Coturnix japonica: one gene and its partners. The protein of the gene in region 1 binds, or shares a complex with, the protein of each later gene. Links are inferred from orthologs where the notes say so. Each region holds a gene or a part of one and is shown in the gene's direction. Other genes may lie near its edges. The genes, in order: NOG, BMP7 and BMP2.

Region 1 (6,716 bases):
TCCTTAACGTAATGTGTTTTCAGAGCTGTGCCTCCAGTGTCCCAGCAGGGCAGCTACAGGCCTCTTCTCTCCTCATCAGCGCTGTGACCCTGCAGGAGCAGCATCTCCAGCTAGCCCACATTGGCTTCCTGTGTGCCTTGAAAGTTGTATTTGCTTTGTCTACTGAAAAAACACTTTTTTACTACTGTCAGCACTCCAGAACCAATAAAGCTGAGGCAAAGGGAGTTGTTTCCTCCTCTGCTCCATGCACCATTGCCAGTAGAGTGACCAGCTCAGTCCTGCCTGAGCTGCTGGCCTCTGTCCCTATCCCAGGCAGGGCTGGCATCATGCACCGACTGGATCAGGCCCTTTACCTCTGGGTTTCATTTATTGCTGTTTTCAGCAAACCCCGAACTAAACCAATTTGATGGGGATCCAAATCTCTTTTCCCTCTGACCCAGAGGCTTCTGGCAGAGCAGTTACTGGCAGCTCTCCCCATCCCGCTATCAGCCATTCCACTGAGAAATTCTTGGGCCATGAGTGACTTCTGTCACTTCTGCTTTCCTTGAGCTCGTGTGGCCTCGCCAGCAGCGCGGTGCTCCATGCAGACACCTGGCCTGGAACGGGCACAGCCCAAAGCAATCCACCAACCCTTCCTGCAGCCCCACATCACAGTGCGGCACAGGAGGGTCGATGCTCCGTGGTTTAGAGTGTAGAACCTGAAGTGCACAGCTGGTATGAACAGGCTTCGTAGGCTTTATTTTTAGACTCTGAGACTGGTAGTTAAAGGAATTGTTTTCAAGTGCCAACTGAGCAGAACTGAATTTGTTCTGAAAGCAGAAATACGGGACGGCAGGAAGGAACTTCAGGATTTTTGCTTTCTCTTCAAAGCATTATTTTGAGCTGTTGTTGTTTTCGTGCCTTTGTGTTTAAACAAGGTGGCTTGAAAGAAGATTCAGAAATATTTGCAGTGACTTACAGGTTACTTTCCCTGTCTGCGCCTTGGCAGCACTGCTGTACACAATGAGGAGGAACTGGCCCACACCAGTGGCCACTTTCCCAGTAGTTTCATTGGGGAAAAATCTGATCTAACCTAATATTTGACTGCTTTCATAAAACTCCTTTACGAAGAAGTGTGGCAACAAAGACTCCCTGAAAAGAAGGAGAAGGGAGGATGGGATCCAAGGAGGAGCGGTTTCTCTCTTCCTCATCCACTTAACACCGCGCATTGCCAACTTGTACAACTCACAGCCTGAATGAAATCCCTCCCAGAAGAGCTCCACGGTGAAGCGATGCCGGCTGCAGGTGGGAAGGCAGTGAGGGCAGAGGCGGGCAGAGCCCTCACCGGCACCAGCAGCCACTTGCACCCTGAGCCCCCAGGAACCATCCCAGCAGTTCTCCCTACGGCTGCTCCACCAACACTGCAACGTGGGATGGCACTGCAGCAGCACAGCTGAGAAATGTCAGCAGTTTCCCATCTTTGTTCCTTGTCAACGTGTGCTGCTGCTGCTGCTGCTGCTGCTGAGAGGTGGTTTTAGGTTCCCGCATGTCAGGGAACACACGGTTCCGTGTTGCCCTGTAGGGTGGCCAAAAAGGAGGAGTGAAGGCTTTGCAGGTTCCACTTGAGGGCAGAGACCAACAGCAGCAGATGTCACTGTCAGGCTGCTTTTCTGGCGAGTGGCTTGGGTCAGTTTTCCACCTTTTTCATGTCATTACGTTGAATTTAGCCTAGGGAGTGAAAATAGATAATAAAATACAGTTAATTTTTAGAGAAGCAGCTCAACGCGGGTAATACAATCAACATATAACATTCATTACAATCCTAAATTTGAAGAGCAGCATTTAAACAAATGCATAAATAATTTATTAGTGGCTGAGCTTCAGTCCCATTAAACTTAGGCTCCAAAGTGCCTACACAGCCTGCGGGATTCCAGCACGTCCTCACAGAGCGCTTAGTGACCCAGCCTGCTGGCTGACCGTGCCTTGCGATGCTTTCTGTGACGCAGCACTTCTGCGGTGTCTGTAAAACTTCTCCCCGTTCGTACCGTCGATGCAGCGTTTCTGTCTTCGCTTGTCGGATCTGGCGTGGCACCGCGGCGGCGCATCCGACGGAGCAGCCCCATAACGCGGCCGTGTTGCGGCGGGGCGCGCTCCGTGCAGCTCCGCAGGAGGGGCCGCTGCCTCCGGGATGTCCGCGGGGCGAACCCGGCTCGGCCCGGCCCGGCGCCGCCAGCAGAGGGCCCGCTCTGCCCGGCCGGGCGCCGGGGCCGGGGCGTCTGCTCTGCCGCGTCCCCGCGGGCGGGCGGGCGGCCAGCCGGGCGCGTAGTGGGAATTACATCACGGGCCCATGTGCGGAGCCGGGCAAACCTTCCGCCCGCGGCCAGGTAGCGCCGCAACGCGCCGGGGCAGCGAGAGAAGCGGCGCGGATAGTGCGGGGCGGCCCGGAGCCGCGCTCCGCTCCCGGGTCGCGCTCCGCCGCTCCGCCGTGCCCATGGGGTGAGCGCCGCCGGCACCAGCCACCGCTACCGGCGGGAGGAGCGGAACGGAGCGGAGCGGAGCGCTGCCCAGAGCCCAGCATCTCCCGGGGAGCGGCGGGAGGCGGGGGGAGGCGGCGGGCTGCAGCCATCCCCAGCAGAGGGTGTGTGCGGGGTGGCAAGGGGGGAAAGCCGCGCTCTCCCGGACTTTTGTGGGAGTGGGGGTTGCGTTGTGCGTGTGGTTTTTTTTAAGGGGGGTGGGGTGGGTTAGAAGAGAGTCTGTGGTTTCCATGGAGATGAAGCTGAAAGTGCAGGAAATTTAAAGGCTTTGGGTCCTCGCGAAGCAGACAAACTGGTGCCAACGTGCGCGGCTGCCGTTGCTGCTGAGGAGGCGGCTTTGCGAGCGGCGGAGAGGAGCGGGGAGGAAGAGCCGGCGGCGACTGCTCGCACACGCACGGGCGGACGGCGAGGAGCGGCAGCGGAGAGCAGCAACAAAAAGAGGCGTCTGTCTCCTCGTCGCGGGGAACGCGAAAAGAAGCGGCGGCTGCGGCAGAATTTGGAGCGGCTCCACCGGGAGAGCTTTTCTCCAGCGGCTCGCGAGGAGCGCAGCGCGTCTGCGGGGCCGGCTCTACCCGCGGCCGGGGGCTGCGTGCGGCGGTGCGGGAGCGGAGCGGAGCCCCGGCACGGACAGGCGGTCCGGGATATCCGCGTCCGAGTTTTCTGATGCATTTGCTCGCACCTTCTTCCCCCGCTGCTCGGTGAACCCAGCCCCCCTCCCCACCCCCCCCCCGGCGGTCTCCCAAGGATGGATCATTCCCAGTGCCTTGTGACTATATACGCCGCGGCGGTGCTGCTGGGGCTCCGGCTGCAGCAGGGCTCCTGCCAGCACTACCTGCACATCCGCCCGGCTCCCAGCGACAACCTGCCCCTGGTGGATCTAATCGAGCACCCGGACCCTATCTTTGACCCCAAGGAGAAGGATCTTAACGAGACCTTGCTAAGGAGCCTCATGGGAGGACACTTCGACCCTAACTTTATGGCTATTTCCCTACCCGAGGACCGGCTCGGGGTAGACGATCTGGCCGAGCTGGACTTGCTGCTGCGGCAGAGACCCTCGGGAGCGATGCCCGGCGAAATCAAGGGGCTGGAGTTCTACGACGGGCTGCAGCCGGGCAAGAAGCACCGGCTGAGCAAGAAGCTGCGCAGGAAGCTGCAGATGTGGCTCTGGTCCCAGACCTTCTGCCCGGTCCTATACACGTGGAACGATCTCGGCAGCCGTTTTTGGCCCCGGTACGTCAAAGTGGGCAGCTGCTACAGTAAAAGGTCTTGCTCGGTCCCAGAAGGCATGGTCTGCAAACCTGCCAAGTCCGTGCATTTAACGATCCTGAGGTGGCGGTGCCAGCGGCGGGGCGGGCAGCGCTGCACGTGGATCCCCATCCAGTACCCCATCATCGCCGAGTGCAAGTGCTCCTGTTAGGGCTCAGTGCCCGCAGGGCTGCCGGGGACCTTTGCTGCAACACAAATAAGAGACACTGCTTTCTGGTTAACGTTGTAATGCACTGTAATGTGTAGGAGAATGTATATTGTGTGTATATATGGCACCGGTTTAATATACTATTAAAAGGTCAGTATTATACGTGAAATAATCAGCGTCTACTGTATTTTTAAGGCTATTACCCTGATCGTTGCTAATGTATCTTTTTTTTTTGTATTTATATTCCGGAGAGGAATTGCTTCGCTTTGGCGAAGTCGGTTTGTTGTTGTTGTTGTTGTTTTTTAATAAAAGGATTAAAAAATACAAACCAAACTTTTTGATAAGAAAACGTTTGCAAGCAATTTTCCATTCTTCGGAAAGCGTGTCGCTGCGTTTGAGTGGGTTTTTTTTTCTTCTTACGGACTTTAGGTTAAAAAGAAAACGCCTCGAGCACAATGTTATTGTAAATAGAACGGTCCGAATGACTTAATTCTATGTAAATGAAGAGTATCTGCTATTTATTCTTTATACCCCTGTAGTAAAAGCGCAGAGCAGAATTAAAGTCAACCACTAAAACACGTGCGGGTGCTGTTTGCTGCTCGGTGCGGCTGCTCCGCGTGTCCCGCACCCCGCACACACAGCGGGCCGATCTGCGGGGCCGCCGCTCCGGGCTTTTGTAGCCGCTTGACATTTCATTTACAACGGGACACGTGTCTTTCACACCTACCATTGTGGTGGGACGCTGCTGAAACTTGACCCTTGGGCTTCGGGGGTTTGCAGCGCAGACGCGTTATTAACCCAATCCTGTGACAGCCTCGCACGCCCTCCCCGACCGGCGACACTCGCCCTCACAGCCCATTAACTCTGGGCACCCGCCGGTCCCCAGCTGATCCGCCGCCGGCAGCGCCCGGGCTGGGTACGGACCCGCTCGTTTCGTCGTGCCCCGCGTTGCGGTGCGTTGCGGTGCGGGTGTAGCACGGCAGCGGTGCTGCACGGCCCGGCGCCGCTCTGCTCCCGAACGCCGCTGCCCGGCGGAGACCCGTCCCGCCGCCCCCTGTTTCCCCCCCGCCCGGCTCCGGCCGCCCCCGCTGCTCTGCGGGCTCCGCGGACGCGGAATTGCCCCGCGGCTCCGCCAGGACCCGCCGCCGGCAGCGGAGCGCTGGGCCGCGCCGTGCTGGGCCGGTTGTATCTCATAGATACCGAGTGCAAAAACAAACGCTCCACGTGTTCCTCAGAGGCGCCGTGACAGTGCAGAACGCCTTTTCCTTATTTATCTTGGAATCAGCGAACTTTTTTTTTTTTTTTTTTTAAACTCTCAGGGAATCCGCGCTAATCATTCTGCAGCCGCGTGTCTCTCTGACACAGCCCAGCCCTGCTTTCCCCGGCGCTGAGCTCTCCTATCTCCCACTGCATATTCATTCCCCCTCTCGCCGTCTCGGTGCGTTTTACCGTCCGTCTCTTTGCTTTTAATTTCAATACTTAAGGAAAAAAAAGAAAAAAAAAATCAGATCTCGGGACATTTCGGGTATTCATTAACCGAGTGAAGAGGAACGGAGGCATTATTACTCACATAGAAGGCACCCTGCCCCCATGTCTATCTAAGGGTTCATTGTAAAAGGATTAAAAGTTAAAGACCTTCATCTTATGATTCTTTCATTTAATCTTCGTGGCGCCTGAAAGACATGCTGGATGGATGATCACATTTAAAATATTCCTAATGTCGGCTACCTTAGGACTCCAGGCAGGGCAAACAAACGTAATTTATTTCTAGAAGAAAGGGGATATTGAGATGTTTAAGTTTATGAACCACCATTACCATGTATATTTGTTAGGTTCTGACAAATACCCAAATAACATTAAAATCAGCCATTCATCACATATGAATTTATGCAAAACCTTCTATGCCTGGGGCCAATTTTTTTTTAGACAGTTTCACTTGCAAAAAAAAAAAAAAAAAGCCAAAAGCGCGAGTTTTTCATGGCTGGTAAACAGGAGAATTATGCGAACAGAAACTATTTCATGCTGGGATGGCAGCCAGCGACTCGGGAATGTCAACAAAAGTTCTCCGAAGGTTGAAAATGTCACTGGATTACAATACAAGGTCCTTTGCCCCATTAGCAAACGTTACTAGGTAATATTCCCACTGGTAGCGAGGGACTCGCCCCCCATTCATCCCTGGGCGATCCCGCAGTGGGGCACACAGATGCTGTCTGCAGACCGGCTCTGGCTGCCATCAGATGTGAGCGCTGCGGGGCTGTGCGTGTGTGTGCGGGGGGTGAGCGCCGTGTGCTCAGCACACAGCTGGCTCCTGCTTCACCTCCTCAGCCAACGAAGCTCCAGTGCTGAGAAATAAGGTCATATTTTGGGTTAAAAAAATCGACTCTCACCCTCCACAAGGCACGTGATTTTTATTATTTTTTTTTTAACGAACTAACTGAATTTTGTCAGCTGGTGGAGCAAAAATAAACGAGTCGTTTCCACTGTTGTTTCTGGTCAGGTTCACTTTCTGGTCCTCCTGCCCCAGTGTTGAAATGTTTGGCTTGTAGTGGAAGTGTTTCAAGCCAAACAAATAAAAGAGCTTTCTGGTGAATGTTTCTATGCAAATCTTTTTAATATTAGATTTTGTAATATGTTTTTAGAACAAAATTGAATTATGGCTTTTTCAAATTGAAATCAATTCCTAACACGGCCAAGTTTTGTTTGCTCATCTTTGTAGTGGCACCACAGGACCTCACAGAGACCACTGTGGGGAAGCAATAAGAAGGGGAAGGTTGAAGTTGAGCTTGTAG
Region 2 (7,340 bases), on another chromosome or scaffold:
ACACATCCTACATTAAATCAGGAAGTATCCAATCTCAGACAAAACCAGACCACTTAAGCCAACAAAACAAGAAGGAAATAGATTCAAACATCACTTTTAAAAGAAATATGTCAAACCCAGAGGCTTCAAGGTTTGCATTTCTTCTATTGCTATTTCTTCAATGACACATACCGCTTCAGCCACTGTTACCTAAGGTGTTGAGTCACGATCCAAACCTTCCAAGTAGAATTTTTCTTCTCTTTTCCCTCTGAGTGATGCCGCTTTAAAACACAACACTGAGCTGAGATTTATTCAGTTTGAAAATGTGAGCTGGGAGCCACTCAGGTGTAAGTGATTCAGGCAGCGGGACCAGCTGCTCCCCATTCCACCAGTCCACCCTTACAGACTTTCAGCCTCCCTGACCCTGAGGAAGGTGAGTCCCCTTGTCCTGCTGTGTGATGAAAGGGCAACTCTGCCTACAAGGAACAAAAAAAGAAAGTGAAATTGAGTTATCTGTGGCTGAAAGGCAGAGCGGGGGATGCTCAGTCACCTCCCTGGTTTAGGGAAACGCCAGGCATCCCAGCCCAGTCCTGCCACCCTCTCTTTGCCCCCAGCTGTGCATTCCTGTGGCCTCCCTCATTCCAGCACCATCCCTAACGCACTCAGTCAGATCAAGGAGCTGATCCAGCAGAAAATTAACTCAGCAAAAACAAATAAGAAATGGTTTGAGAAAGATTATGTTTAAAAACAGAACAGGCTTCCTGACCTGTGCGCACCGGGAGGGCAGGGAGCCTGCAGCTGGAGGGCTGTGCTGGGTTTCAGCAGCTTGGATTTCAGTTGGTCAAGAAACCACACCCAAGGCAGGAGAGAAATTTAGGCAAATACCTGCCTGGTTAAGAGCAGGTTGGTACTGCTCCTCAGGAAGTATGGGAGAGTTTAATCTTAACTGTTTAATCTGAGTTTAATCTGAAGCACAAGTGCTAAGGGCTGATGCTCCCATCAGTGAGGGGTGAGGGGAAGGCACCCACCTGGGGTGGCATTTGAGCCCCCCCAAAGCGCCCCGGGCTTAGCACTGCTCCACACTATGGACCCTGGCTGCCCTGCACTGCCTCTGCCCCCACCACCATGCATTCCTAAACAACTGAGCTGGATTCAGTGCTGGTTCCACCACTATTTCAATAGCTCTGTGAGTCATGTCAATGCCATGCCTCAGTTTCCCTGTTATTAAAAGGTGCACACAGACGCACACAAACACACTAAACCATTCTGTGTCTTTCCCATGCAGCTCTTAACCAGTTACCTGCTGTCTGCAGGAGGAATTTAAACATAAAGAGCTAAAAGGAGGGCAGAACTTCCTGTTTCCAGAGCAGATGGAGGATCTGGTGCTAGCACTGCTAGTTATTTCTTGTCCAAAAACACCAGAGGAGCAATCTAACAAACTGCACTGACCTTCTTTCTCCCTGACTTTCTTCTTTCTCCTTTGCCTGAGGAATGAATCTTAATGGCAGCACCGACTTCGTGCATATGTCTGGTTCTCGAGGTTACCTGGGGCTGGGATCAGCATCGCAGATAAACCCTTCCATCCTGCTTTCCTCTTGCTTTCCAAGTGAGACCCGAGGAAGCAGCAGAGTTCATGGTGCTCTCAGCCTATCGTTACTGAGTAGCACTACCCAAACTGGCCGGGGCTGAGGCTGCATTGCTGTAGGTGTTACACACACGGAGTTAGAAACCGTGAAATCAGCGCTTAGAAAAGTAGGCGATTCATTCCCAGGGCGTTGCGCAAAGGTGTGCAGGGGGCAGCAGAACGGGCAGGGGACAGAGCAGGGGAACGCGGCGGCACGAGGTGCCCGAGCAGGACGGCAGCATCGCAGCACGGCCACGATACCGGGTTTGCGGCTCTGAGACGCCGAGTCCATCGCCCCGGTTGCATTAATGCGCACGAGTGCACAACTCTGCGCTTTAACTACTTGGGAGTCGCGGGATTTGCGCCGGCCGGGCACTGCTGCGCGCTGTTTGCGCGCACTGACGGCGTATCCGCACCTCCAAACTCTGCCTCCGCTCAGACCGCCCTCCTCCCCTCCTTCCCTCCCTCTCGGGGCGTCTTCTCCTTCATCACGTCCACGTTAATGCGACCGCCGGGACCGGCCGCCCTCGCCCCGAGCCAGCAGCACACGTCCTGCACAGCAACCTGATCGTCAGCCGTTCCCCCTCCCGGCGGCAGCGCGGCTTTGCTCTCCCCAGCGGTTTGCAGCGGGCAGGCGAGAGAGGAGCGCGTTGGGTTCCGCTCCTGCTCCTCCCACCAGAGCCACCCTCCCGCTGCCTCTCCGCGGAGCACGCAGCGCACACGGCTCCGCCGCTCCGTGCGGGATCGACCGCGGCGCTCGGGCTCCGCTCCCGGACGCAGCGCTCTCGCTCTCGCTCCGCTCTCGCTCCGCTCCGTCCTCCTCTCTCGCCGTCCCATGGGCCGGGGCCGCCGCGCAGCCCCCGCCGGGCCATGAACGGGCCGCGGCTCCTCCGCGGGGGCCGGCGGCCGGCACCGTGAGCGCGGGGCCGCGCATGCCGGAGGGGCGCGTCCCCCGGCGGGGCAGCCCCGCGCCCCCCGCGCCGCCCCCCAGCCGCCGCCGCCGCCGCCGCCGCCTCGCCGCGATGCCGGCGGGGCGAGGGCAGCCCGCCTCCTGGCTGCTGGTGCTGGGCGCCGCCGCCCCCGCCCTCTGGCTGCGCTGCGTCCTCGCCGACTTCACGCTGGACAACGAGGTGCACTCCAGCTTCATCCACCGGCGGCTGCGCGGCCCCGAGCGCCGCGAGATGCAGCGGGAGATCCTCTCCATCCTCGGCCTGCCGCACCGCCCGCGGCCGCACCTCCACGGCAAGCACAACTCGGCCCCCATGTTCATGCTGGACCTCTACAATGCCATGTCCGTGGAGGAGGGGGCGGCGGGGGCGGCGGCCGAGGAAGGCGAGGGCTTCTCCTACCCTTACAAGCCCATCTTCAGCACCCAGGGGCCGCCGCTGGCCAGCCTGCAGGACAGCAACTTCCTCACCGAGGCCGACATGGTCATGAGCTTCGTCAACTTGGGTGAGTGCCCGGGGCCGGGGCAGGGCTGGGCTGCGGGCAGGTGGCGGGATGGATGGTGAGGATGGATGGGAGCGGTCCTTGGAAGGTGACGGTGTGGTGGCCAGGCCAGAGTGCGTGCCCAGGGCTCCTGCTGCCATCCCAGCACACCTGCACGCTGACCCGCCGAGCACTTTACTTGCTTCTCCACCGAATAGTTCCGTGCCATCATTCCTAAAGTGGCCCTGCAGGTAGGAGCTGAGCTGCTGGGCTCAGCCGTGTCCATCGTCACCAAGGAGGACATGAAGCCTGCACGCTCATGGCGCTGCGGGACACGGGGCCACCAGGATGTGGGGCTCCCAGTGTGTTCCCAATGGCCTGGGGACATCCCACAATAAATCCTCACTCACTCCTGCAGCTTTTTCTGTTGTCCTCCATGAGTGCCACCAACTTGCCTCTCTTCCCAAGCACATGTGGATGGCTTTATGCAAATGATAAGAAGTTGGCATGCTTTGTATGCAGCTCGCTAGGCCTCTCTAATTGGATGCTACGGCCCAATCTGACTTCTATTTGCTTGCTGTAGATTGCACACCCGTTTGGACTGACTTGGCCGGATTTGAGTAAAATGCCATCAGGGCAAGTATTCTATTTTCAATATATAATTACAGACCGTGTTTCACTCTGTCCGCTTTTAGACCTCACCATACACAGCACTGAAACCACCACATGTGCAGACTGGGTGTCTGCAAAGACCCGGCACAACGCAAGTAGCATTTCCAAAACAAGATCCACTCATTGGTCCCAACCCGAGAGGAGAGAAGAGCAGAGCAGCGCATCGCCGGCATGTAACCTGCTGGGGATCGCAGACACTCCCATCATCCATAAAGCTTTTAATGCCTCCTGGGTCTCTGGGCTCAGGGGCAGCACAAACTTCTACCTCTCCAATCCCAGAGCTTGTAGTGTCGCTATCTGCAAAGCTCGATGGCAAACAATAGTAATTACTGGACACAACAGCCGTCCCAACACACGTCTTCCATTACATGGGATGCTGTGAGAGACCTCTGATTTGCACAAGCTGCACCTCCTCATTGAATGCCATAAGCTCTGCAGCAGGACTCTCTGAGTTACATTTGGCCTAGGGACTGTGCTCTTTAGGAGGGCTGATGCTTTCCATTTACAATTATTGTGTTTGCCTAATCACTGCTAGATACTTAAGCTGGTCAGCAATTATACGTTTAAAACCAAATATTTGAGCAGCCAAAAGGATGAATGGTGGTCAAATATTTGGCTTTAGAGATAAGAGCGATCTCGCAAACATTGTTCTGTGTGGATCCTGGGTCCTAAACAACGTACAGACACCCAGAGCACAGAAGACAAAGGACGTGGAAACAAGCATAGTGAAATTCACACTTCTGTGAGTTTCAGTGGAATGGAATGCACAGAATTTTAGTGGAGCAGAGCACATAAGAAGTGTGTAAGTACCAATGAGGGACGTGCAGCTCTGTGCTGGTACGCGGAGCTGCGGCTGCACTGCGCTCTGTCCTGCACTGCCTGCACTGCCGGCATCACGAGAGGCCTTCCCTGCATCCTGTGGAAGGGTTAAACAAAAGGAGTTAATCTGCTGGTCCCAAACTGGAATACAAATGGTTTGTGATTAGAGTGGAACCCATCCATAAACAGCAAAGTAAACAGGGATATGTCTAAGTAAGAACTTCCTATAGGGTGGGTTGTGCCTGTATGAACTGCGCACACTCAGTAATCTCTGTCCTGACGTGATATGATGGCGATGGTGGATGGACCCATTTTGACTTGTTGTGTTTTGTAGTTGGCTCAGAAATCTGAAAGCATTCCCTATGCAAAGTACTGTCAGCATGGTCAGCGAGAAGTAAGAGTACAGGCAAAACCCAAAGGCTTTAAACAAGGCAGGTGGGATCCCTACCAGCAAGGCACCTCTCCGAGGTTTATCTGCGCTGTTTTGTTCCCTTGTCAACAGTGCATGCCAGGACGAGTTTAAAAAGGACATAGATCCGTAATAGCTTTCTTCATCCCTGTGCACACCTTTCATCCCATTATAGTCATCGGTCTTTCATCTTTACAGGACAAAGACAGGCTTGTTTAGGGACGTTTGAATGAATTAGCCCAGCCACTCACGTATATAGGAAAATGTAACACCTGCTTTGATATGTACAGTGCGCCATAACATCCAGGGAAAATTAGAAGCTCTGTTGTAGAACTGATGCTTTTTGGGAGATATTCTGCCGTGATCCCTTTTACACCAGAGCTCAATTGCTGGATGCAGGCTGTAGTAAACTGTGTCCTACTTTTGTGAGAGCTCCTCTGCAAGCATTGCGTTTCACAGGTAGGCTTTTATTACTATGGCAGAGCCATTGCAATGAGGAAGTGTCACCGCATGATCAACCTTCATCTCAGTAGTGGAGGAAATAAAAGTGACTGAAGAAATAGTAATTCTGAATTTAAATAAACAAAGCGTGTTATTCCAGGCTTCCAAATGCTCATCTACAAATACGGGTAGCTTTGTGTTTGTTTGCTGTGTTCATATTCCCCATCTATCTATTCTAGTCATGCAGTTTTGGAGGAAGATGTGTCAGAAATAAAGATTTATACTGAAAGGCTGCCTGGGTTGCATAGTGAAAAAGAAAAAAAAAGACCCAAACCAAGCACAAATACACACTGATTTCTATGGAGATGCTGTGTGTATTTATCCCAAGGAATTTACACTGGGCATTGGCAGGGAGGAACCCAAGCACAGGTGCTCCATCTCAGGGTTATGTTGCAGGGAGCTCTGTACTAAGCATGTAAAATTCCTGTAAAATCTTGACAATTAATTAGATTTAGATTTATAACCAGTTAATTCACAGGCGACATTTTGTATTAACTTACACCTGTGCTAAGATGGATGAGGAATGGATTTGTGTCAAGAATGAATTGACGTGTAAATTAAAAGAGAGTTTAGCCACAGTGGCCTGACGAAGTCAGTCAGTTAATTGCTGTCTAATTTTACACAATTTATTACTGCAATTTCATTAGCTGGGATTCCATTTCAGACCCACGTCCAAACGAAGTTTACAAGCGGATCCATTTTAAGCACTGAAAAAAACACAAAACATTTTCTGCATCCGTTTAATTTCAAGTTTATAAACAGCAGCTGAAGAGTAAACATCCTCTGCCTTGCGTAGACCCTCGTCTAAAAATAATTGAGCTGTCCTCCTGCGGGTGATCCTGACTTGGTAAACAGACTGAACGTTTTCTTACCGCATCGGCACAAGTGCTGTGCAATTTGTTAATTTGTCTCGTGGTTGATTATAAAATGAACAACGTTGCTTAATCCTGGCGAAAAAATAGGGGGGGGGGGGAGTGGAATTAGTCATTCTTGGAAGGAGCACATCAAAGTGGCTTTTGTTAATGTAAGTGAAAGAGCTGAAGAGCCCCCAAGTTTCCTTTTATTTCATACCATCTGGCTATCCTTTTTGTTGACAAGTGTTTGGCATGGGGAACCATCTCCCTGCCCTTTAATAACAGGCTTTAACACTGTAGGGTATTAGAAAAAGATTCTATAACAGTTAAAAAATTTCCTTCGGGGAATACTTTATAAAGTGAGCACGGGCTGCAGGCATTTGCAGCTGTAACCTGGCTTGTGTTAAAATTTGGAAGGGCTGCCTTGCATTCCAGCTCACTACAGGCCTTCGTTGGTGTACAGCCAAAGGTTAATATAGATGTCACACAGTTTTTCTTTGGAGAGCCTCAGATATAAGAGTACGCATACAGCTGTGTTTTTAGTAACCCTTTCATAATCACTTCTTTTAAACCTCATTTTCCTGCTTATATAAATCAAAGATTTTCAAGGATATTTGACCTGGATTTGAACTTATTTGATCTTCACATATTTCCCACTTGAAACAAAGCAGATTAAATGTTAGCCCCGAATGCCTGCTCGCCATCACATGGCTGTGGCCACGCACAAGGCCGAGCTCTCAGCTTCCTCTCCCCTCCACCTGGTGCCGATGTATCTCTCCTGCCCAAGCAGGTACACCCTGCAGGCAGCGTGGGTGCATGCAGCACTGGATGCCATGGGAGCAGCACGGCAGGAGGTTTGCAGCTGGCATCACCACAGCAGTGCACCGCCTGTGCAGCACGCAGGGGGCAGGTCTCCTCTGTGCACCCAGCCAGCTCCAGGGAGTAATTCATCCCTTTTCAACTTGCCTGCTGCAAGGAGTAAGGGGATAAAGCTGCGGCAATAGTCCCCCTTTGCTCGTGTTTCTGTGTGCAGGGGAAGCCCCCAGCCCTGACT
Region 3 (7,200 bases), on another chromosome or scaffold:
CATGAATCACCCTCAGTACTGTTAGTGTACCATGTCAAAAGCTCACTATGTCTGAGGGAAATTGGCCTAAGAGGGGAATTTTAGAAGTGCTTGGTGTTGGTCTAGCAGGTCTGCTGAAGTCAGTGGTAGAAGTGTTGACCAGCAGTGTGCACAGAGCTCTATGTGTGCTGCTGCAGACCTGTCCAACGACTAGACCAGGATCTGGAGTGTTTTGTTAGTGACTGTGAGTCCCAGCTCGAGGTCCCGGCTGCATTTCTCATTGAGGTCTTCCAGCTGAAGGCTTCTGCCCGCTGCAACGTTGGCAGTGCTCACAGTTAAACCAGGACAGAAGAAAGACACTACCTGGTGGCACTACAGAAACACAATTGGATGTAGTAGGAAGAACAGAGTTGTGCGGAAGAAGACTTTCTTCTTGCCTTCCCGTGCTTGAAAAACAGTTCTTACCGGGTTGTAAAACCTATCTGTCTGTGGGTGCTTTATTTCACTAAGAAAACCCAACAGTGCATAAAGTTGAGATCTACCAGCTGCAATTGGGCACCTGCAGAGGAGCACCTGGATCTGAAACCCAAGAAGCAGGTGCCCTTAGCTGAATGCTCACTGGCTCAGATAAAGCCCACAGCAAACCACAACACTGTGAAGCAAGAGAAAAAGAAAAGGAAGAAAAAAAAGAGAGTAGATGTGCAGAAAAGGAAAATACAAATGGATCAGTCCAGTCAACCATACAGAGTTGAGGAGTATGGAAATGAAGCTTCACAAAGGTGACACATCTGTGCGGTCCAGCTTCTTACAACCCAATGTCCATATCAGATCTCTTCAGCACCAGTGCTGGTTTCTCTGTCAGGAGAGGAGCTGATGCACCAGCTCTGTGTGAAGGGGAGCTCTGTGGGGGAGTGCTGCTGTGGGACACCTGGGGGAGGTGACCCTTCTGCATACGTGCTGCTTTGCCACCTGGCTTCTTCCTGGCATGACCCACGACAGACTGAACTGGGATGGCAATTAGAAGTTCTCATTTAACGCCAGTGATGTGTAAACAACACTGCCATTGTTATTTTAGTGCTGATTTACATAATGGGCACAGCATCACACTGCTTTCACCTTGGTCGTGAAGAGGACTCGCAGGGAGTCATAAAACTAAACTTTATTTGTACTGAAATGCAACAGAAAAGTTACAGAACTTTTGAGGGCCTTCACACGAGGGTCAGCTGAGGGGGCGTGGGGAGCAGCTGGGTGCACAGTGCTGGTTAGTCCCTGCTGGGCACTGTCCCATGGCACAGCTGCGGCTCACAAGGCGGCAGGAGAAGGGACCTGCCCCAGTGCAGATGCTGCGTCGTGCCCTAAGTCAAGATGGAGGGAGAAGGCCACTCCCAAAGGAGGAGCTGGGAATGGAGGTGTCAAGGTTGTTATTGCTTTAGATTCTCATCCGCAGTGTTTTACATTTGGCTGTAGCTTCTTTGCAGATGAAGTCCCTGAGGGGCGTTTGTGACCCCTGCGGAGGGGCCGCGTCCCACACAGGCGAACGAAAGCCGGGGTAGCGGCCAACCCCGACCCCGAGCGCGGAGCCGCGTCGAGGCGCAGAGCGGCACAGGGGAGCGGGCAGGTGCGGAGCGGGGCAGCGGGCGGGGAGCGCCGCTCCGCCGCCACTGGGGGGCAGCCACGGCTCAGGAACGCGAGCGGCCGCGCGGGTCGGGCCGGGGCCGGGGCACGGGGCAGCGTCCCGGGTGATCCCGGAGCGCCCCGACGGCGGCTGAGCGGGGAGAGCGGCTCCCAACCCGCGGCCGGGCACGGCGGCGGTACGGTGCGGGACGGGACGGGACGGGGCGGGCCGGGAGCCGCTCGGCAAGTCGGGAGCGACGCCGGGGGCTCGGGGTCCGGTCCCATCGCGCGACCCGGCGCTCGGTCACTGTGCGGGGAGCGGCGGGACGGTCCCGTGCGGGCGGACGGACGGACACACAGACTGGCCAGAGCCCGGCGCGGTGCGTCCGGGCGAGGCAGGGAACGGGCGAAGGAGGAGGAGGGAGAGAAGCGGCGAGGGAGGGAGAGACGGAGGGAGGCGGCGTCTCCTTTAAAAGCCGTGCGGGGCCGCGGCCCGCTCCCACAGGGCGGCTGTGATTGGCGCGGGCCCGCGAGCCTCCGGGGTCGTGACATCGGAGCGCAACAAAAAGCCGCGGCCGCGTTCGGCCGCCCCCGTGCATGGTGCGGCGCGGGCGGGACGGGTGCGCGCTCGCAGCGCTGTCCCCACCGGTGCTCACACCCTCCGGAGGGGTTTTGTTGGTGGATATTTTTTGTAATGTAGCTTTTTATTTCGTTCTCCTCCTCGGTTGGGTTTTTCCTTTTTTTTTTTTTTTTTTTTTTNTTTTTTTTTTTTTTCTTTTAAAGGCGCGGAGCAAAGCGAAGCCCAGCTCCCATCTCCATGTCGCTGCGGGATTCCCGGTAAATAGCCGCCCGTGCGCTGCGGGTGATGCGCAGGACGCTCGCGGAAGGCGCCGTTCCGCTCCGTAACGCGTAGCACCCACTCGCGGGCGGGCAGCGCGCACCGAGAGGAGAACGGAAAGGAAACACCGACTTTGCGACCGGCGCTTTGCGAAAGGAGAAGCGCGGACTTTCCTCCTGCCTCCCGCCCGCCCGCCCGAGGCATGTTCCCGAGGCGCTCCGCACCGCGGGCAGCTCCCGTTTTCCGCCCGGCAGCCGCAGAGGAGCAGCAGCAGCGCGGTTCGGAGTAACTCCAAGTGATGCGGGGACCACAGCCCGAGAGCAGCACGCGCTCCCGCAGACGCCAGCCCCGCCGCACTCAGGTACGGCCCCGCGGCCGCCGATCGCCGTCTCCGCAGGATGACTCCGTGCAACACCGGGGGGACGGGACGGAGAGCGGGTAGCGAGCCTTAACCCCGCGCCGAGTTTGGCGGGGGAGAAGAGCGTCCCGCGGCTCCTGCTCGAGCGCGAGCGGCTTTTATTTTTTTTTTCCTTTTTTTTACTTTTTTTTTTTCATCTTTTTCTTTTTTTTTTTTTCCCTCTTCATTCCACGCCGGGATAGCGGGGCCCTCCTCCCTGTGACCGGGGAAGCCGCGGCTGGAATAGCCTGCCCCGGGCACGGCCGGGAGGTCCCTCTCCCACCGCCCCGTCCCTCTCCGCCCCCCGTTCCCTCTGCGGGAGGCCGTGGCCGCACGCACCTGCGCCCGCCGAGGGCGGCTCTCCGGCCACCCGCGCCCCTTCCCCTCGCCCCCCACCCCCGCTGCCCGGCCCGCCCGGCTCCTTTTGATCCCCCGCCGCGGGGATTTGGTGCCGCCGCGCACCTGAGCCCCGACGGGGCCCCCCCGGCCGCGCCGTCCCGCTGTCCGCTCGCCATGGGCCGGCAGCCACCTGCGGAGTGGCCCCGGCTGCCCCCCGCTTCGCGGCGCGCTCCCCCGGCGCGGTGCCCGCGCTGACCGCCTCCCATCGCCTCCTCCTCCGCGCAGGTCGACCATGGTTGCCGCCACCCGCTCCCTCCTGGCGCTGCTGCTCTGCCGGGTGCTGCTGGGCGGCGCGGCCGGCCTCATGCCGGAGGTGGGACGGCGGCGCTTCAGCGAACCGGGCCGCTCCGCCTCGGCCGCGCAGCGCCCCGAGGACCTCCTGGGAGAGTTCGAGCTGCGCCTGCTTCACATGTTTGGGCTGAAGCGGCGGCCCAGCCCCGGCAAGGACGTCGTCATCCCCCCCTACATGCTGGACCTCTACCGTCTGCACGCCGGCCAGCAGCTGGGCTACCCGCTGGAGAGGGCCGCCAGCCGCGCCAACACCGTGCGCAGCTTCCACCACGAAGGTAGGGGCCGAGGGACGGGCGGAGGGGAGCGGGAGGAGTGCGAGGGTGGGACGGAGGAGGGGCGGCGGGGCGGGCTCCGAGCTTCGGAGGGGGTCGCGGCTGCGTTTCCAGAGCCCACCGCGGGCTCCGGGGCCGCCGGTGTGAGGCTCTCGCCGCGCTCTGCCGGCCGCGAACGGAGCTTTCTTTGGGCGAGGCGGAACGCGAAGGAAAGCTTCCCCCGAGCCGCGGCGAAGGTTCCTAATCCCTTATCTAAATCCCCGTGGGAGATAGGCGAAGCGGGCCGGAGCGGCCTTCCCCCGGCCGCCGTCGAGCCGGAGGAGTCGCGAAGCTCGGGGCCGTGCCGCCCGGCTGGAGGTAGCGCTCCGGGGTGGAGGTAGCGCTCCGGGCTGGGGCTCCGGCTGCTGGCTGCCCGTCCGGGGGCCGTACCCAGCGAGCGGCTCACACGGCCGAGATCGCAGCCGCGTGGTCCCGCAGAGCCGTCGGTGCTTGCCGCTGCCCCGCTCTGCAGGAAGCTTTATCCCGGGATGGAACCTGCCCTGGCCATAGTCTCTGGCGCTGGCACACGGCGGCTCTGCTTTAAAGGGAATGGAAAAGCGGTCGCCCCGCGCTCTTCAGGTGGAACAGCTGAGAAAAGAAACGCGCTTAGATTTAATGGTTCTGCTGGACGGAGGTGGCCCCGGTGCCGTTTAGTGGGAAGTGAGATCAGTGGTGAAATGTCACTCTCTCTGTAGCGGGGAAGTAAACAGCAGCAGCGCGTGGCTCGTTCCTTTTAAGCCCGTACGTGGCAGGCGAGGTGCTGAGCAGGACAGGAGCCGAGGGGCACGGAGTGTAACTTGTAGGCAAACAGAGCAGCGTTGGAAGCGGTGGTGTTGCAACAAAGTCTTTGACATGGAAGGCTGTCCTCCGGTTTTCACAAACTTGAGACGAAAATCAACGTGACTCCGTTTTTCCATTGAGTTCTCACTGTTGGTTCGTGACTTCATGAGAGCAGGAGGCTGTGCCGGGAGCGCTCGCACATCTGCATATTTACAAACGCCGGGCTGGTCCCGAAGCGCTGCAGAGCTGAGCCCTGCCTGATGCGGGAAGTCGGGCTGGAGCCAGCAGGGAATGGCACGGGGCTGAGAACTGCTCACGTCAGTGCCAGCTTCCCTTCAGAAAGTGAACGGATCCCCGGGATGCTGAGTAGCAAAAAGAAAACCCAGGATTTCAGAGGGATTATTGTGGGCAAACGCTATTTCTTCCGTGTCTGCAGCAGAAACTTACAGTGTAGCAGCCCTAGATACATAGTACTCCCCCTGAAGTTCCATTCCAGTGTCTGTTGGCTGAAAGGGAAAGATGGCACGGGGCTCAGGGGCTGGTTTGGTTGCTAAAAACATTTCCTTATCCCTTTAGCATCCACCCATTCTAGCAGCTAGACCCGTTCTCACAGTCCTTTGGACTTCATACTGGGGTGTGCTTGTAAAGTGGCCTTACAGATGTTGAGGTCACTGCCTCTAGTTAACATATGCAAATCTATACATTAAGATTGAGTAAGTTACTGAAGATGTGGAGCACTGTATTTCAGAATGGAACTTAAGAGAGAGGTGCTCCAGCCATATTCTTGAAAAATGCAGAAATGCATCAATTGCCCTTAAATCCTCAGTTGGTTTCAATGATTCTCATCAGACCTCTGCTAACTGTAGTGCTCGAGTTTTCTCACTGATGTCTTTGAATTCCAACGTGATGCTTCATGTTTCTCGGCACTGGTAATGACTACCTGGAATGCAAAGAGCACCGGTATTCCATCAAAGTGCATGACAATGAATGAAGCGTTCTTAACTTTGTGCTATACATGCTTGTGTAAATAAACAGAAGGATGAGGGAGGCTGTGCTTTCTGCCTGGAAGTCTTTCAGGTCTTGTTTGTCGCATGCCAGCAGCACGTATCTGAGGGGTTTGGTTGCTTGTCTCAGTTCCTAACTGTTTTTTCTTTCTCTCCCTCTGCTCCCTGCCCCCCTCCCCTTCCCTTCTCGTTTAATCAAATTAGAAGTTTTGGAAGAACTGCCAGAAACAAGTGGGAAAACAGCACGACGTTTCTTCTTTAATTTAACTTCCATCCCTAATGAGGAGTCTATCACCTCAGCTGAACTCCAGATCTTTCGGGAGCAGGTGCACGAAGCCTTTGAGAGCAACAGCAGCTACCATCACCGTATTAATATTTATGAAATTATAAAACCAGCCACAGCCACCTCTAAGGACCCCGTCACGAGACTTTTGGACACCAGGTTGGTGCATCATAATGCAAGTAAATGGGAAAGTTTTGATGTAACGCCGGCCGTTTTGAGGTGGATTGCACACGGGCAACCTAATCATGGGTTTGTAGTGGAGGTGGTTCACTTGGACAAAGAGAACAGTGCCTCCAAGAGGCACGTTAGGATTAGCAGGTCTTTACACCAGGATGAAGATAGCTGGTCTCAGCTCAGGCCGTTGTTAGTGACGTTTGGGCACGATGGCAAGGGACACCCGCTTCACAAAAGAGAAAAGCGTCAAGTGAAACACAAACAGCGCAAACGCCACAAATACAGTTGCAAAAGGCATCCGTTGTATGTGGATTTCAGCGACGTGGGTTGGAACGATTGGATCGTGGCTCCCCCGGGCTACCAGGCGTTTTACTGCCACGGGGACTGTCCCTTCCCTCTGGCCGACCACCTCAACTCAACGAACCACGCCATTGTTCAGACTTTGGTCAATTCAGTGAATTCCAAAATCCCCAAGGCCTGCTGCGTGCCGACAGAACTGAGCGCTATCTCAATGCTCTACCTGGATGAGAATGAGAAAGTTGTGCTAAAGAACTATCAAGATATGGTTGTGGAGGGTTGTGGGTGCCGCTGACACGGCGAATATATCGGACAAATGCAAAAGAAAAAATAGAGAAAAGCTGACACTTTAATATTTCCCAATGAAGACTTTATTTATGTAATGAAAATGGAAAGAAAAAGAAAAAAAAACACAATTATTTTGAAAAATATATTTATGTCTACGGAAAGGTTGGGAAAACAAATATTTTAATCAGAGAAATATTCCTTTAAAGATTTTTAAATGTATTTTAGTTGTACATTTTATATGGGTTTAACCCCCCCAGCACATGAAGTATAATGGTCAGATTCTTATTTTGTATTTATTTCCTATTATAACCACTTTTTAGAAGAATAGCTAATTTGTATTTATGTGTAATCAAAAAAAGAGAAAATGACAAAAAAAAAAAAGAAAAAAAAAAGAAAATATAGGGTTTTGTACATAATTTTCCCAAATTGTAGCTGTTTCAATCGCGTGTATTTAAGTTGAAGAGAAGACGCGGAAGGTTACTATGGCAAAGTGCATGGCGCATTTGCTTTCTGCAGTGCTACTGTTAAGGTCACAAGTTCAAGTC

What was found.
Region 2: the proteins of NOG (region 1) and BMP7 are in contact, whole or in part, in a crystal structure (PDB 1M4U), measured with the Homo sapiens proteins. The link is inferred for Coturnix japonica from reciprocal best matches to the Homo sapiens genes NOG and BMP7. Residues at the interface, in NP_005441.1 of Homo sapiens: His29, Tyr30, Leu31, His32, Ile33, Arg34, Pro35, Ala36; in NP_001710.1 of Homo sapiens: Phe365, Pro366, Leu367, Asn368, Ser369, Asn375, Ile378, Val379.
Region 3: the proteins of NOG (region 1) and BMP2 are in contact, whole or in part, in a crystal structure (PDB 7AG0), measured with the Homo sapiens proteins. The link is inferred for Coturnix japonica from reciprocal best matches to the Homo sapiens genes NOG and BMP2. Residues at the interface, in NP_005441.1 of Homo sapiens: Ile33, Arg34, Pro35, Ala36, Pro37, Ser38, Asp39, Asn40, Pro42, Leu43, Val44, Asp45, Leu46, Ile47, His49, His199, Arg204, Arg206, Pro219, Ile220, Gln221, Tyr222, Pro223; in NP_001191.1 of Homo sapiens: Trp310, Asp312, Trp313, Val315, Ala316, Pro317, Pro318, Gly319, Tyr320, Ala368, Ile369, Ser370, Met371, Leu372, Tyr373, Lys379, Val380, Val381, Leu382, Lys383, Asn384, Tyr385, Gln386, Met388.

What each region holds. Positions count from the first base shown.
Region 1 is NC_029533.1:7,833,125-7,839,840, reverse strand, and holds NOG (noggin), read left to right. Parts: upstream 1-2,642; 5' UTR 2,643-3,258; coding exon 3,259-3,930; 3' UTR 3,931-4,505; downstream 4,506-6,716. UniProt on the Homo sapiens protein: Inhibitor of bone morphogenetic proteins (BMP) signaling which is required for growth and patterning of the neural tube and somite. Essential for cartilage morphogenesis and joint formation.
Region 2 is NC_029535.1:10,546,962-10,554,301, forward strand, and holds the start of BMP7 (bone morphogenetic protein 7), read left to right. Parts: upstream 1-2,535; coding exon 2,536-3,055; intron 3,056-7,340. UniProt on the Homo sapiens protein: Growth factor of the TGF-beta superfamily that plays important role in various biological processes, including embryogenesis, hematopoiesis, neurogenesis and skeletal morphogenesis.
Region 3 is NC_029518.1:13,150,238-13,157,437, reverse strand, and holds the start of BMP2 (bone morphogenetic protein 2), read left to right. Parts: upstream 1-2,359; 5' UTR 2,360-2,792; intron 2,793-3,452; 5' UTR 3,453-3,459; coding exon 3,460-3,793; intron 3,794-5,817; coding exon 5,818-6,662; 3' UTR 6,663-7,200. UniProt on the Homo sapiens protein: Growth factor of the TGF-beta superfamily that plays essential roles in many developmental processes, including cardiogenesis, neurogenesis, and osteogenesis. Induces cartilage and bone formation.